Linked DNA regions of Canis lupus familiaris. The protein of the gene in region 4 purifies or fractionates together with the protein of the main gene of each other region. This does not show direct contact. Links are inferred from orthologs where the notes say so. Each region holds a gene or a part of one and is shown on either strand. Other genes may lie near its edges.

What was found.
Region 1: the proteins of MED1 (region 4) and CDK19 purify together in Homo sapiens (affinity purification with mass spectrometry; 7 studies listed by BioGRID and IntAct, counting the BioPlex papers as one, with this or other methods). This does not show direct contact. The link is inferred for Canis lupus familiaris from reciprocal best matches to the Homo sapiens genes MED1 and CDK19.
Region 2: the proteins of MED1 (region 4) and CDK8 purify together in Homo sapiens (affinity purification with mass spectrometry; 14 studies listed by BioGRID and IntAct, counting the BioPlex papers as one, with this or other methods). This does not show direct contact. The link is inferred for Canis lupus familiaris from reciprocal best matches to the Homo sapiens genes MED1 and CDK8.
Region 3: the proteins of MED1 (region 4) and POLR2J purify together in Homo sapiens (affinity purification with mass spectrometry; 3 studies listed by BioGRID and IntAct, with this or other methods). This does not show direct contact. The link is inferred for Canis lupus familiaris from reciprocal best matches to the Homo sapiens genes MED1 and POLR2J.

What each region holds. Positions count from the first base shown.
Region 1 is NC_049233.1:67,588,359-67,591,925, reverse strand, and holds part of CDK19 (cyclin-dependent kinase 19), read left to right. Parts: intron 1-208; coding exon 209-281; intron 282-523; exon of another isoform or gene 524-681; coding exon 682-779; exon of another isoform or gene 780-836; intron 837-1,238; exon of another isoform or gene 1,239-1,747; coding exon 1,748-1,826; exon of another isoform or gene 1,827-2,414; intron 2,415-2,507; coding exon 2,508-2,774; intron 2,775-3,567.
Region 2 is NC_049246.1:13,124,108-13,127,303, forward strand, and holds part of CDK8 (cyclin-dependent kinase 8), read right to left. Parts: intron 2,362-3,196; coding exon 2,264-2,361; intron 1,564-2,263; coding exon 1,485-1,563; intron 1,365-1,484; coding exon 1,206-1,364; intron 1-1,205.
Region 3 is NC_049227.1:7,621,690-7,625,690, reverse strand, and holds the start of POLR2J (DNA-directed RNA polymerase II subunit RPB11-a), read right to left. Parts: upstream 2,805-4,001; 5' UTR 2,700-2,804; coding exon 2,647-2,699; intron 1,606-2,646; coding exon 1,516-1,605; intron 302-1,515; coding exon 127-301; intron 1-126. UniProt on the Homo sapiens protein: Core component of RNA polymerase II (Pol II), a DNA-dependent RNA polymerase which synthesizes mRNA precursors and many functional non-coding RNAs using the four ribonucleoside triphosphates as substrates.
Region 4 is NC_049230.1:22,961,924-22,965,490, reverse strand, and holds part of MED1 (mediator of RNA polymerase II transcription subunit 1), read right to left. Parts: intron 3,296-3,567; coding exon 3,200-3,295; intron 3,086-3,199; coding exon 2,980-3,085; intron 111-2,979; coding exon 1-110. UniProt on the Homo sapiens protein: Component of the Mediator complex, a coactivator involved in the regulated transcription of nearly all RNA polymerase II-dependent genes.

The DNA.
Region 1 (3,567 bases), on a different chromosome or scaffold from region 4:
TTACCAATTTTCAGTTATGTGTTCTTTTATTAGAAAAAACAATGGCCTAAACATGTACCTTATGGGAAAACCAATCTGGGAGCTTTCCATTAAAAAATACAAACTGTGTAAACTGTACTTAAGTAAATGAACATTTTTTGAAAAAATGAAGCGAAGCAAAACAAAACGTGAGTGTTCCCAGTGATGTGTGATTGTCATGTCCTTGCAGGTACGCCAACAGTAGCCTCATAAAGTACATGGAGAAACACAAGGTCAAGCCTGACAGCAAAGTGTTCCTCCTGGTAGGTGCTTCTCTTCCAGATGAAAGTTGGGTCTGTAGCACAGGCCCACCCCATCCCATTCAACATGGAATTGTACCAGCTATTCCTTCCCTTTAGAAAGAAAAGAAATTGTTGGGGGCTGATGCAAAATTAAATACTTTTCTTTTAAGATGTCACCCTTGATTTCTAGACTTAATTTTTTCCAAAGATTTATCAGCAGGAAAAAAAAAATTATATTCTCAAAGGGCCTTCATGCTAATGATTTCTGCCAATTTCACATAAATGATTGTGGTGTCCTAATAGCACGGTGAGCTCTGCAAAATGGCATCTGATATTAATCCTGCTAGACCTTAATACAAAAGTCAAAACATTGATAAGCAGTCTTTTCCATGTGCTATCAATTTCTTATGTGTTACTCTAGCTTCAGAAACTCCTTACTATGGATCCAACCAAAAGAATTACCTCGGAGCAGGCTTTGCAGGATCCCTATTTTCAGGAGGACCCCTTGCCAACATTAGAGTACGTATTGTACGTGTTCTGTGTTCTTTGCTCCAGGTCGGGGGTGTCGGATGGTGGCTGCAAGTAAGAGAAGCCCTTGTTACTGCAGTATTACAAGTTCTCCATTAATACTACCTCGGAGAAAAAGTACTCAAGAGAAAGGGCCCGTATTCTGAAACAGGCAAAGCCATAGAGAGGTGTGAATGGAAACAAGTATTTTAGAAAGGACCATTATTCAGGGTTACAGAAAAAAACTGAAGCTGAGAACAGGTGGGACTTTGAGAGGTCGGTCAGCCAGATAAGTTTAAGCCAAACCAGTAGGGAACTAAGAATTTAAAAGTCTGTGTGTCCACTCTACTACCAAAACCCCTGTGTTTCCCCCTCCTTGTTACACCCACGTGCTTGTGTTTATTAGAGATGCAACTTTTCTTGGGCGGGCGGGGGCGGGGGGGAGTATTTTCATTGTTGAGGCAATTACAAATTCAATTTTGTTTTGTGTGCTAATAAATTTTCTGTGGAGAAACTTCCCCATCATATATGTCAACTAGCTAACAGCAGTTAAGATTTGTTACTGAAGATGGTAATTATTATAAAACTTAGACAATTTTTTTTTCCAGAGAGAGAAGGAGGTGGGGGTGAAGGGCAGAGGGAGAGAGAGAATCTCAAGCAGGCTCTGCACACGTGTGCCCAGCGCGGGTCAGAGCCTGACTCGGTGCTCGATCTAACAGCCCTGAGATCCTGACCTGAGCCGAAATCAAGAGTCAGACACTTAACTAACTAAGCCACCCAGGCACCCCACAAATTCTTTTCTTATTTGCTTGAATTCAGTTGTCTTGGGAGGCATCCCGCAAATATTAGCTAGAGCTGAAGAGTGGGACATAGCTTAAGAAAAAAAGTGGAATTTTAAGCTAACAAGGTCAATGATACTGTAGATTTTAGGTCGTGATGTATATTCTTTTTTTTTTTTTTTTTTTTAAATGATGTTGTAGTGTGTTTGCTGGCTGCCAGATTCCATACCCCAAACGAGAATTCCTTAATGAAGATGAACCTGAAGAGAAAGGTGACAAGGTATAAAGCTACACGGTACACATCACTTCCAGAGAATAAGGGAGGCAAAAAGAGAATTTAAGGAACTATAATTGAATGATTACTACGTATTTAACTGCCTTTAATTATGTATTTACATGATTGCAGATGTACTTTGCAAACTTGAAATCTAGTAAGTTTACAGATAAATGATTTCTAGCCTGTTTCATTCCCTGGTTCTTAATTGTTGGGTTTCATTTGTTCAGTGTCACTTTATGCAGGCTGCTTTCAAAGCATCTTATTCTTTGCTGGTAACTGGGTATATCAGGCCCTCCCCATATCCCTCTACTTTTCCAAACTCCTGATGGAGAAGACCATCACAGCTGGTTTCCTGAGAGCAGAATAGCTTCCTGGGTGCTGCATGCCCTCTGGCCGGATGTCTGGGACTGATGTGGAGGATGAGTGTGCAATCTAGATGAACTTCGGAGAATGAATCGTGTTCAGGACTCAGTACTCTGACCTTAGGGGATGCGCAGCATCCGGCTGGAGTCACTTTGGCATCCCCACCCCAGAGGGGCTCTCCAGCTTGGTCCTTGGGCAGCCCAGTGTGCCTACTAAGGAATCAGTGTCCTGTTAAAAAAAGAGAAAAGGATAAAGGAAAGCAAGCACCGCCCTGTTCATTTAGTTCCATACCAAGTTTGCCTTTCTTCCTTTTCTTGCAAGAACCAGCAGCAGCAGCAGAACCAGCATCAGCAGCCCCCAGCGCCCCCCCAGCAGACGGCAGCCCCCCCGCAGGCGCCGGCACCACAGCAGAACAGCACCCAGACCAACGGGACCGCGGGCGGGGCTGGCGCAGGGGCCGGGGCTGCAGGTGGCGGCCTGCAGCACAGCCAGGACTCGGGCCTCGGGCAGGTGCCCCCCAGCAAGAAGCCCCGCCTGGGGCCCTCGGGTGCCAACTCCGGCGGGCCCGTCATGCCGTCAGATTATCAGGTACCCCCTCAGATTCTGTTCTGGTCAAGGGTTTTTTATGAAATGGAACATCGATTTTTAAAAAAAATTTATTTAAAGAGAGAGCATGAGCAAGAACACAGCAGGGGGAGGGGCAGAGGGAGAAGCAGACCCTGGGCTGAATGGGGAGACTGAGCCGGGAGCCCCAGGTGGGGCTGGATCCCCAGCACCCCAGGGTCACGACTTGAGCCAAAGGCAAGCCGCTCAAGCATTTGAGCCTCCCAGACAACCCAGAAGTCAATTTGATCCTAGAGCTTTTTAGACTCAAGTGATACTGAACTCTAAAGTTTGACTGTACAAATGGTACAATCCTGTTTCTAGGGCATGACATGAAAATGAAGATTTGGGTCATATTTCCTTGTAATTGTGAAACATTTTGTTCCTTGGCTTGTTTTTCCTGACTTCCAGAGGAGGGAAAGTGAGGTGGGCATCTCCCTGCTCAAAGGAAATTTCTCATATTAGCCTTTGAAAGAGAGAGGAGTGGCAGCTTATTTTGCCCAAAATAAGATTGAGAAAGATTTGCTGTCCCTGAGAGGAAATAATCAGTAAGTAGCCATTGTAAACATAGAAAGGGATTAAGATTGAGATGTTGCAGAAATCACTGTTCAATCTCACTAGAAGTATTTTTGAGACTAGAAAATACTTTTTATTAATAAGATTAAAAAAAATAACAACACCCTACAGTTGTGTGGTATCTGCCTAAATGTAGTGTCTCTCTCCATGGGATGGGGGCCCCCAAGTGTGGGACGAGGATGGGTGGAAGCCAGTGGCAGCT
Region 2 (3,196 bases), on a different chromosome or scaffold from region 4:
AAGCAGGGAGGTGGTATATGATTTTCCAAGTTGTCTTTCTGCAAAGAAACTGACAATACCACTTGATGGGATCCACAGGCAGGCAACAGAGCAGTCTTGGTTGTCAGATCTTAGACTGTATCCTGGGTCTACCCCCAGCTCAACAGGTAAATATGTGAAAGTTCTTCTCTGAGCATCTCTGATATGACAATAACCCTTACTCACAGAGTTCCCATAATGATCAAAGGAAATAATGTAAGTTTCATGCTTAGTAAAAAAGCTGGCATAGTAAACACCCAACAAACTCTTATTATTAGTTATCACCAGCACCACCACCACCACTTAGTAAATGCTTACTGCATACTATGAACACTACTAATAATTTTGATGATAATGATAATAAAAATGATAAAAAGTGGTAACATCTGTTAAGCACTATGGCATGCTAGCCACTGTGCCTTAGCGTACGTCCTCTCATTTAATCCTTGCTACCACCTCACACTTGCCATCATCACTTCTACAAATGAGAAAACTGAGAACATCTGAATTACTTTACTCAAGGTTACCCAAAGTCAGTGGCTAGGCTGGGATCTGAAAGTCTGTGTTTTTTTTTAAAGATGCTATTCATTTACTTGAGAGAGAGCAAGCAAGAGAGAACATGAGCAGAGGGGAGAGGGAGAGGGAGAAGCAGGATCCTTGTTGAGCACAGAACCTGATACGGGCTCAATCCCAGGACCCTGGAATCATGACCTGAGCCAAAGGCAGAAGCTTAACAGACCAAGCCACCCAGATGCCCCTGAAAGCCTTAGATGTAGCTTTCTTAATCATTCTTAATCATTCTTGATATACCTGTTGTTTCAAAACAATGCACAATACTGATTGAGCTCCTACTATAAGTCAGGTGCTAGGACTTATCATGTCTATTCCTATAACAACTACAAGCAAGGCTTGGCTAGTCTCATTTTACAGGTGAAAAGGCCAGGAAATTTTATTTGTCCAAGGTCACACAGTTCATAAATGGCATAATTTATAAGTCTGATCATTCCAGGTCTGTTTAGTTCAAAAGTCGGCCCCCTGTCCGGTACCACAGTCAGTACTCTGCTGTGCCAATAACAACTCACATCACTATATTTTCCCCGGGGACATGAAGGTCAGCATTTTCTTAGGTCACAAACCCATCTACAAATACTGATATGGCCAGTCAATACACAATGAACTGGAAATACCTGATAGTCTGAGGTCATGATGAGTCCACCTGAGGTAGTGGTAGGAGGAACAACTCTCACTTTTTTCAATGGGGGTCCCTGTGTATGACTGCTGTCTTGATTCCCTGGGTGACCGGTTCCATTAGTATGGTTATTGCCCTGCTGCTGCTGCTGGTTCTTCTCAATTGGTTAAACAGAAAAATAAAGTTCAACTCAGAAGGAGAACCAAATACAAACAAGAAAATGTTACACGGTAGATGGAATAAAACAAGCAGCAGCCAAATGTACTTTAATACTTACTTTGTCTCCTTTGTCATCGGGTTCTTCTTCTGTTAAAAATTCTCGTTTTGGGTAAGGGATTTGACAACCGGCAAAAACGCTGCTCACAACAAAAAAAGAAAATTTCTAGTATGCTAATCAGTATCTCAGATGCTTCATTTTAATCTTTTAAGATGGACTTTGTGTCCTTATTTGTAAAATAAGCACCCTTCATGCAACTGTGCCAAAATGAATCTTTTCTTCTAACTAGGGACATTGTAGCAGACCATGGGAAGGATTTTCATTGTGTGAAAATAATCAATAATCATCGAATATGACTCAACTTTCTTTTATCCCAGACTCACTCTTTTATTGTTACAATCCAAATATAGATTCCAGTGGAAATGTCACTATTTGAACACAATTTTTTTTTTTACTCTCCCTTCTACACATAAGAGATGACATGGGGAACACAAATTTATTTGGGAATGGGATTTTGTAATTAAAACACAAAACTGTAACTGTAAGCAGTGGGCCATCTCAGTGAGTCTGAGTGAGCTACAGCATGCATAATTAACCTGTCACTGAATAATTGGGGCACGGCTGAAAATAAAGCTGGTAATGTTTCATAAAGTAAGACATGAACAGGAATGCCTTTTCACTGTAAAAGCCCTAAATGACACCTCAGTCATCAGAGCTCATGTCACTGGGATTTCCCTAGGTCCCCATGTAATGCGAGTGGCAACTTGGAGTTGACAACTCAAACAAGCCCACTCCAGAAAATTCTATCATGCTGGTGAGTTAATAAACTGATCACTTACTCTGATGTAGGAAGTGGATCTTCTAAGAAATAGGGATCCTGCATAGCCTGTTCTGAGGTAATTCGCTTTATTGGGTCCATAGTAAGTAACTTCTGAAGCTGAAATCATAAATCATAAAAACATTGTGTTATTTCTTATAGTTATATCCTTGGCCATATGTGGGATGTACATGTTTTTTGATGAAACACTACAATTTGAGCGGTATTTATTCCCCCAAATTAACAAGAGAAAAACTGGATTATTACATTTAACATAGTAATTCACATTTAGTAATTCTAATAATCATGATCTTACTTGGTTCTAAGAAGTAAACAAAACCTTTACCTTATTCTAAACCAATGATCTACATTATGCAAATTGTTTTGTCCAATTTAGAACAAGACTAAACTCTTATATTTTCTATTCTTTTTCTATAAAGGGAAAAAAACTATTATAACACAAATAATAGAGTAGTCACATGTGACTATTTAGATTTAAAACCAAATTAAACTTAAAAAAATCAATTTCTCAATCATATCAGGTACATTTCTAGAGCTCAAGAGCCACATGTGGCTAGGAGTTATCCTATTGCACAGCACAGATCATCAGAGAAAGCTCTCCTGGCCAGTGTTATCCCTGTCTAAATAAATATGGTGCTTGATACAGAACTTGTGAAGTACAGAGGGGTTATGAATGGAGACTTGAAGACCTTTATTATCTGAGTGACTTTGGACAAGTTGCTTAATCTCTTTGCAACCTCATTTGTCAAATGGAGATTAAAAATAGTGCCAGCTACCATAGGTTTGTTTTCAGAATTAAATGAGTTAATATATGGAAAGCAATTCTAAAGGTACCTGACACAAAGAAAGCACTATGTATTATTATTATTTTGCTACCTATAAAAATGTCACACTAATGTGAAAATTCAGTATTTTTTTGGTTAAAACAGTTTAT
Region 3 (4,001 bases), on a different chromosome or scaffold from region 4:
CAGTCACCACGTGCCCCCACCCCACAATAAATCCGGAAACTACCCAGGGGTTGTCGGTGTGGGCATCAGAACAGCTCTGGCCATACTGGCTAGCATGCAAACACCCCTCGCCGCCCGGCTCCTCACCCGGAATCGCTCTTCCAGCAGGGACAGCTCGCTGATGAGGTCTGTGATGGCGTTGGTGAAGGCCTCCTGGGGGCTGTAGTCTGGTGTGGTCTGCACTCGAATGATGATCTTGTGCTCCAGGGGGTGGGGGACTTTGTAGCCAGCAAACAGCACCTGGGGGTCCTTCAGCAGCTGTCTGAGATCAGGAAATGGGCAGTGTGACATGGGGGCTGGGCCTAGCACCTGGGACCACCAGGCCTCTAACCAAGGAGCCTTCCCACTGGCTTGAGGCCTAGAAGCGAGGGGGGTGGGGCAGGGAGGAGATGGCTGACTCCAGCTGCTTTCCTGCTCTTGATTTCCCAAAGATATCTCCAAGTAAAACATCTGGAACATCTGCCTCATGAGGACACCTCCCTCCTCCCCCCACCCCTACATCCATGAGGATCCAGGACCCCAGCTGGTAAAGAGGATTTCCAGCAAACTTCCCTCAGGGGAAGTCGGGGGCCTGCAACAGCACCAAAGAGCCCTCCCCAGGCAGCCAGTGCTCAGTAACCAGAACACAATGTGCTGGTTCTGGCCCAGTAAGAGCGTCTGGCACAGCAGGAAAGGCTCAGGCTCTGAGTGCTTAGTGAAACGGAAGCCCTTTGGTCAACGCTGCTGCCCACACACCTGGGACCCGTTGTGCCTGGCTGTGAGGTGAAGTGTGCATGCCATGCTCTGCCCTGGGCCCGCGGGGGATTCTCTGGAGCAGCTCAGTCAGCAGCAGGCACCAAGAGGGAAGGCTCTTGCACAGGTGGGGACATGCCTCCCAGAGTAGGGGAGCAGAAGGGCCTGGGAGCAGCACCGGCATGGCTCAGGGTGGGGCCAGCCAGACTGGAGAGAGCCAGCCCCACCTCCTACTTTCAGCCCAGAGGTGAGGTGGGCTCCTGCCCAGTGGTCTCAAACACATGACCCTCGGAAAGACCTAGATTCACCCATGGTGCTTTTCTGACAAAAGCCCTTGAGCCCAAACAGCAACCACATCACTGACCACTTACCTGGCCAGGACCTCGCTAATGTACTTACACACCTGCTAACCAACATGAGCATCGGATAATCACAGAGCCTCTCCCCCACCTTCTCCCCTCATTCTAATAAGTTCCAATCTCTGGCAAGTCGGCCTAGGTTTCTCTGGCTTTGCCACACGTTCACTTCCTTTCATCGGATAAATGAACCAGTACAGAAATACAGCTGTGGGAACAGATCCAGGGCAGCAGCATTTTGGGGAAAACGTACTGAAACGTGTGAATTGCCAGAACAAGCACCCAGACCTTCCGGCAGCTCAGAGAGACTTCGGGAAATCTGGGACGTGTGCTTTGCCTCAAAGAGCCCCATTAAACGTTGCCTGAGAGCCTCTGACTCGGAACTTACGATTTGATGATGTTTCCTAGTGTGTGGTCTTCTTTGTTGATGGTAAACAAACAGGCATTGGGTACCTTGGTGTCCTTGTTAATGGTAATCCTAGGAAGAGGTGGTAGCAACAGATGGGAAACGGGGCTCTCCTCCTCCCCCCAGGATAAATCCTGCCCTTTAACTCAGGCTTAAGCCCCACTTCCACCTCGAAGCCTTCCTCCATCTCTTCATCCATAAAGACCTCTGACTCAGAGCAGCAGAGTGGCTATGCCCCGATTCTGCGGGACCCTCACCTACTCTGGATTGCTCCTTGGCACCAGTGACATCTTAGGGTGGATCATTCTTTCCCGCAGGGGGTGGTCTTGTACATTGCAGGATATGAGCAGTATCCCTGGTCTCTATTCACTAGCTGCCAGCAGCAGCCCCTATGTGACGAAAGTGTCTGCAGACGTTGCCAAAAGTCCCCTGGGGAGCAAAATAGCCCCTAGTTGCCAACCACTGCTCCCAAGGGAGACGAAGTGGCTGGCAAGGGCTAGACATAGAGCCCCGCACACCAGGCTGTTAAGAGAAGGAAAAGCCGACGTTTAAGACAGTCTTTTGTGTGCTGAGCCTTGGCCTAAGCACTTCCCGTAAATCATCTCAAGCTCCCCTTTGAGAAAATCCTGTGATTTAACAGAGCAAGAAGCCCATTTTCCAGATGAGGAAAGCAGGCCTCAGGCAGGCTAAGCCACCTGCCCAAAGACACGGAGACGTTAAGTGGGGGAGCCAGGAGCCAAGCCCAGGCTGAGAGACAGCAAGACTACACCGCCTGCACCCCGCGGGCAAGAAGCCGCTGGAGGTTCTCCGGAGGCCAGCGAAGGCGGGACGAGAGCCTGAGAGCCGGACCCCGCTGCAGCCGCAGGAGGCGGCGGCCAGGCACGCGAGCGAGGGGGCTGCCGGATCCCGGGGGGAAGCACTCTGGCGCCACGCACACCGCCACTCCCCGAGGGCCGGGGCAGCTCCTTGGCTCTCTGAGCTTCAGTTTCCGCATCTGCGGAAGGGGGTCGGTCGCCACCGCCCGGCAGGGCTGGCTCGAATCTGGCGGACACAGAGGCTTCCGTCTCCCGCTACTGGACGGACCCCAGGCTCGCCCCCGCCAGCTCCACTTACTTCTTTTCGCCCTCGAAGAGCAAGAACGACTCAAAGGCGGGAGGGGCGTTCATCCTAGCGCCGCACTCGCAGCCGAAGCCGCAGGGCCGCCCCCGACGCCTGCAGGACCCTCTACGACGCCACCTCTTCCGGGTTAGCGGCTGCTTCCGGGTTACGGCCCCCGTGGGGAGGCCGGCCGCTCGCCCCCTGGAGGCCCGGGGGATGTAGCGCAGGCGAGAGGAGCCCGGGAGGACCGAGGCGCTGGTGGCTCTGCGCATGCGTGAGGCGTTGGCGGGGGCGTTGGCGGCCCCGGGGGCCGCCCCCCCCCTCAAGATCCTTCTTTGCAAATGCGCTTGGAGGGCCCAGCGCGAGGCCCTCGAGTGGAGAATGGAGCCAGGGCGCAGTGCGGGCCGGCAGGAGGCGTCAGGTCCTAGGACCAGAAGGCCGCCGGCCGCGACCCCCACCTTCCCCCGCGTGGTCGCCCCTTTGCGGAGCGGGCTTGGGGCCGATGAGCTGCTTGCCAGGCAGACGGCCCGGCGGCGGAGGCGGTTGGCGGCCGAGAGGAGTGCGTTGGCACTGCTGGTTGCTATTTTGCCGACCGCAGTTGTGTGGACGGACCCCACCTGCGCTGTTTGAGGCAAGGAGCTGGGTCTCCCGTCGGCTCCAGTAGCCGCAGCATCTGAGGAGCCGCCGGGGACCTGCCCGGGAAACCAGGAGCCTCCATTTCCTGGGAAGGGCTATTCCTTGCTTAAGCTTGGGCCCTGGGGTGAGGAGGTGCCATTGGCCAGAGGCCCACACCAGCCTGGACTCCACGGGGGGGGCTTTAACTGGTGAGGAACAGAAGGCATGAGGGGATGATGCACAGGGGCGTAGCCGCGACCCTTCTGGGCCATCCGGGCAAAGCTAGGATGCCACTTGGCTGGCTGGGGGTGGAGAGAAGGGGTATAGTTTTTACCCCAAAGGGGCCTCACTCCCGCCTGACAGAACCTAGAGGTGTGGGGGTACATGAGCCGTGGGGACAGTGCCAGGCCCTGCTTCACTGTCACCCCTACAGGCTGCAGCAGCCACCCCATCCAGGACCCTCCTGGAAGAGAGGGTGGGCGGTGACACCACTGGGGGGCTATGTATGCAGTTCAAACCCAGGCTTCTACCTGTGGCAGCCCCATAAGTAGTGCACACTACTTTCCCCTTCACTCTCATTAGGGTGCAGTGGACCCTGGGCTCTGTACTTCCGGACCACAAGGTCCTGGAAACCCACCGAGATTCAAAAAGCATGAGGATTTGTGTGAGGTCCTAAGGAAGGAGCCAGAGAACAGGGTGTTGGTGATGGCGGAGGGGGGGTGCAGGCTCAGCCACCTGGGGGCAGGAAGGAAAGG
Region 4 (3,567 bases):
TCACCATGTCTTCAACTGTCTCTGCAATGAGGGACAGTGCTGGGGTGTCGGCCTGAATGGTTTCAGCTTTCCTCCGAATAGCCCTCATCGTCACAGGGATGGACATACATCTGTAAGATAAGATAGAAAAAACAAAATCAGCAATGTATTAGCTGCTGAAAGAAAACAATTTTTATTTGGGAAAACAGGCTTTAATTTTGCCTGAAATTCAGATATGTACTCAGAGGTTTACAGTAAGGAATTTTCAGGTAAGGCAAGTAACCGGTAAGACAGAAATAGTTCTATAAAATGCTGGAGCATTGGGCAAATTCATTCTAAAAGGAATCTGTACCAGTAGGCAATCTTAACCTCTTTTAAAGCACTACCCAAAACAAACCAACCACAAAGTCCAAATTACATGTCATACTAAACCAAAAGAAAACTGGTAATAATGAACTCAGTAAGAAAATGCCCTCCTGGGGCGCCTGGGTAGCTCAGGTGGTTAAGCATCTGCCTTCAGCGCAGGTCATGATCCCAGGGTCCTGGGATCGAGCCCCACATCAGCTCCCTGCTCAAAGGGGAGTCTGCTTCTCCCTCTCCCTCTGCCCATCCCCCACCACCTTGTTCATGCTTGCTCTGTCACTCTCTCAAATAAATAAAATCTTTAAAAAAAAGCCCTCCTTTTAGGACTTCACATGTGATTAATGGGATATAATATTTACCTTAATTAATGAAACACTAGAAAAAGCTCTTGAAACATCAAGTTCTAAACCTTAATGGCAAAAAATAATAATAATAATAAAAAAAAACTAAACCTTAATGGTGGGACACCTGGGTGGCTCAGCGGTTTAGCGCCTGCCTTTGGCCCAGGGCATGATCCTGGAGTCCCGGGATCGAGTCCCACATTGGGCTCCCTGCATGGAGCCTGCATCTCCTCTGTCTGTGTCTCTGCCTCTCTTTCTGTGTGTCTCATGAATAAATAAACTCTTTAAAAAATAAATCATAAAATAAAATAAAATAAAATAAAATAAAATAAAATAAAATAAAATAAAATAAAATAAAATAAAATAAAATAAAATAAAACAAAAATAAACCTTAATGGCTTAAAGCATCCCAAAGCTATATTGTGAAAGATGCTATTATTGCTCTAAAATCTTTATTATTTTTTTAAATGATTTATTTACTTATTTACATATGATATATATATAGAGAGAGAGGCAGAGACACAGGAAGAGGGAGAAGCAGGCTCCATGCCAGGAGCCCGACGCAGAACTCGATCCCGGGACTCCAGGATCACACCTGGGCCAAAGGCAAGCGCTAAACCACTGAGCCACCCAAGAATCCCCTACAATCTTTATTATTTTAAAGCAAAGCACTTTTTATCTTATAGATAAGTTTAAAAACGTATTTTCGGGATCCCTGGGTGGCGCAGCGGTTTGGCGCCTGCCTTTGGCCCAGGGTGCGATCCTGGAGACCCGGGATCGAATCCCACGTCAGGCTCCCGGTGCATGGAGCCTGCTTCTCCCTCTGCCTATGTCTCTGCCTCTCTCTCCCTCTCTCTCTGTATGACTATCATAAATAAATTAAAAAAAAAAAAGTATTTTCGAAAACACTTTGCTCTAGAACATTTTAGCAACTTTTCTTAAAGAGACCAAAATAGTAGTATTTTAGGATTTTGAAGATCACATGGTTTTTGTCCAACTATTCTGCCATCTTAGCTCGAAAGGCACCACAGACAATATATAGGGGTGCCTGAGTGGCTCAGTCGGTTAAGTGTCCCAATTCTTGATTTTACCTCAGGTCATGATCTCAGTGTACTGAGATCAAACCCCACATCAGACTTCCCACTCAGTAGAGTCTGCTTAGGATTCTCTCTCCTTCTAACCCCCACCCACCCCTCAAATTCTCTCTAAAAAATAAATCTTAAAAAAAAAAAAAAAAAAGAGACAACATATAAATGAACAAACATAGCTGTGTTCCAATAAAATTTATTTACAAAACAGGCCACAAGCATCAGCTCTAGAAAAATCTCAAAATTACATATTAATGTTTCTGGGAAGCTGACTAGCTTAAAGTATCTTCCTACATGCCACCATTTGATATATTACATATGTTAAAAAGTGATGCAGTAGATAAGTAAAAAAAAAATCTAGGGGCTCAGTTGGCTAAACATCAGTCTTTAGCTCAGGTCATGATCCCAGACTCCCGGGATCAATACCCATGTCAGGCTCCCTGCTCAGCGGGTAGTCTGCTTCTCCCCCCTCCTTCTGGCTGTCCCCCTGGCTCCTTCTCTTTCTGCCTGTCTATCTCACTCTCTATCTCAAATAAATAAATAAAATCTTAAAAAAAAAAATCTACATCTTATTTCAGGTATTTCCTTCCTAAAAGAATCCTATACCAACCTAAAGTTACTCTACCTTACTTCCTATTACTCCCATGATGGTATTTAAAAAACTAAAGCTTGGGGCAGGCCAGGTGGCTCAGTGGTTTAGCGCCGCTTTCAGCCCAGAGCCTGATCCTAGAGACCCAGGATCGAGTCCCACAACAGGCTCCCTGCATGGAGCCTGCTTCTCCCTCCGCCTGTGTCTCTGCCTCTGTCTCTCATTAATAAATAAATAAAAACCTTAAAAAAAATAAAAAACTAAAGCTCACATTGCTTTTGAATCCCAAAGCAGAGAAAGGTGAATTCAAAACAGTGACTACATGCTTCCCTCCTGGGCAGCCCCAGTGGCGCAGCGGTTTGGCGCCACCTGCAGCCTGGGGTGTGATCCTGGAGACCCGGGATCGAGTCCCACATCAGGTTCCCAGCGTGAAGCCTGCTTCTCCCTCTGCCTATGTCTCTGCCTCTCTCTCTGTGTCTATGAATAAATAAATAAAATCTTTAAAAAAATAAAAAATAAATAAATGCTTCCCTCCTAAATTTCCATTCACTTTAATACTGAAAACAGTGTTTCTTATACCCCTCTAAATGGGAGTCTGATGGAAAAGAGCCAGTGCTACCTTTGAACAACTTTGGCAATGAAGTCATCTGTGCAGATGAGTGCATCTGACAGCCCCTTGTACAGTTTACAGCTCACATGTGTTGAGTCCTGCACATCCATTACCACTGAAAGACAAAACATATAGGAGTTGAGAGAAATTCAGCTTCTGACTTTCCAAAAAGAAGATAAAGAGCCCAAACTACTGCCCTAAGAAAAGAGCTAGCCCCCTCAAAACTCACCACACACCAGGGAGTCATTCACAGGGTGCTGAAAAGATACGCTAAAACGGGACTCTGAGAGAGGACACACTTCAAATTGGAGGAGCCCAGGAGAATCTAAAAGGCAAAGAAAAAGATCATAAAATAATCAAATATAAGACTAAATCCTAATAAATAATAATCCCTAAGTATACAGAACATCATTTTCAGTCTCCTTAGAAACTAAATCCTATACATTTTTTACATGCAAAACTACTATATCATTCACAGGTGATAGAATGAATCCGATTCCAAAAAATATGTCAGCTTGTTATAAATATTCCAAACAAATAAGTAACTAAACTTCCACTTTCTAAAATGAAGGCCATTTAATCCCTAAATTGTTAAAG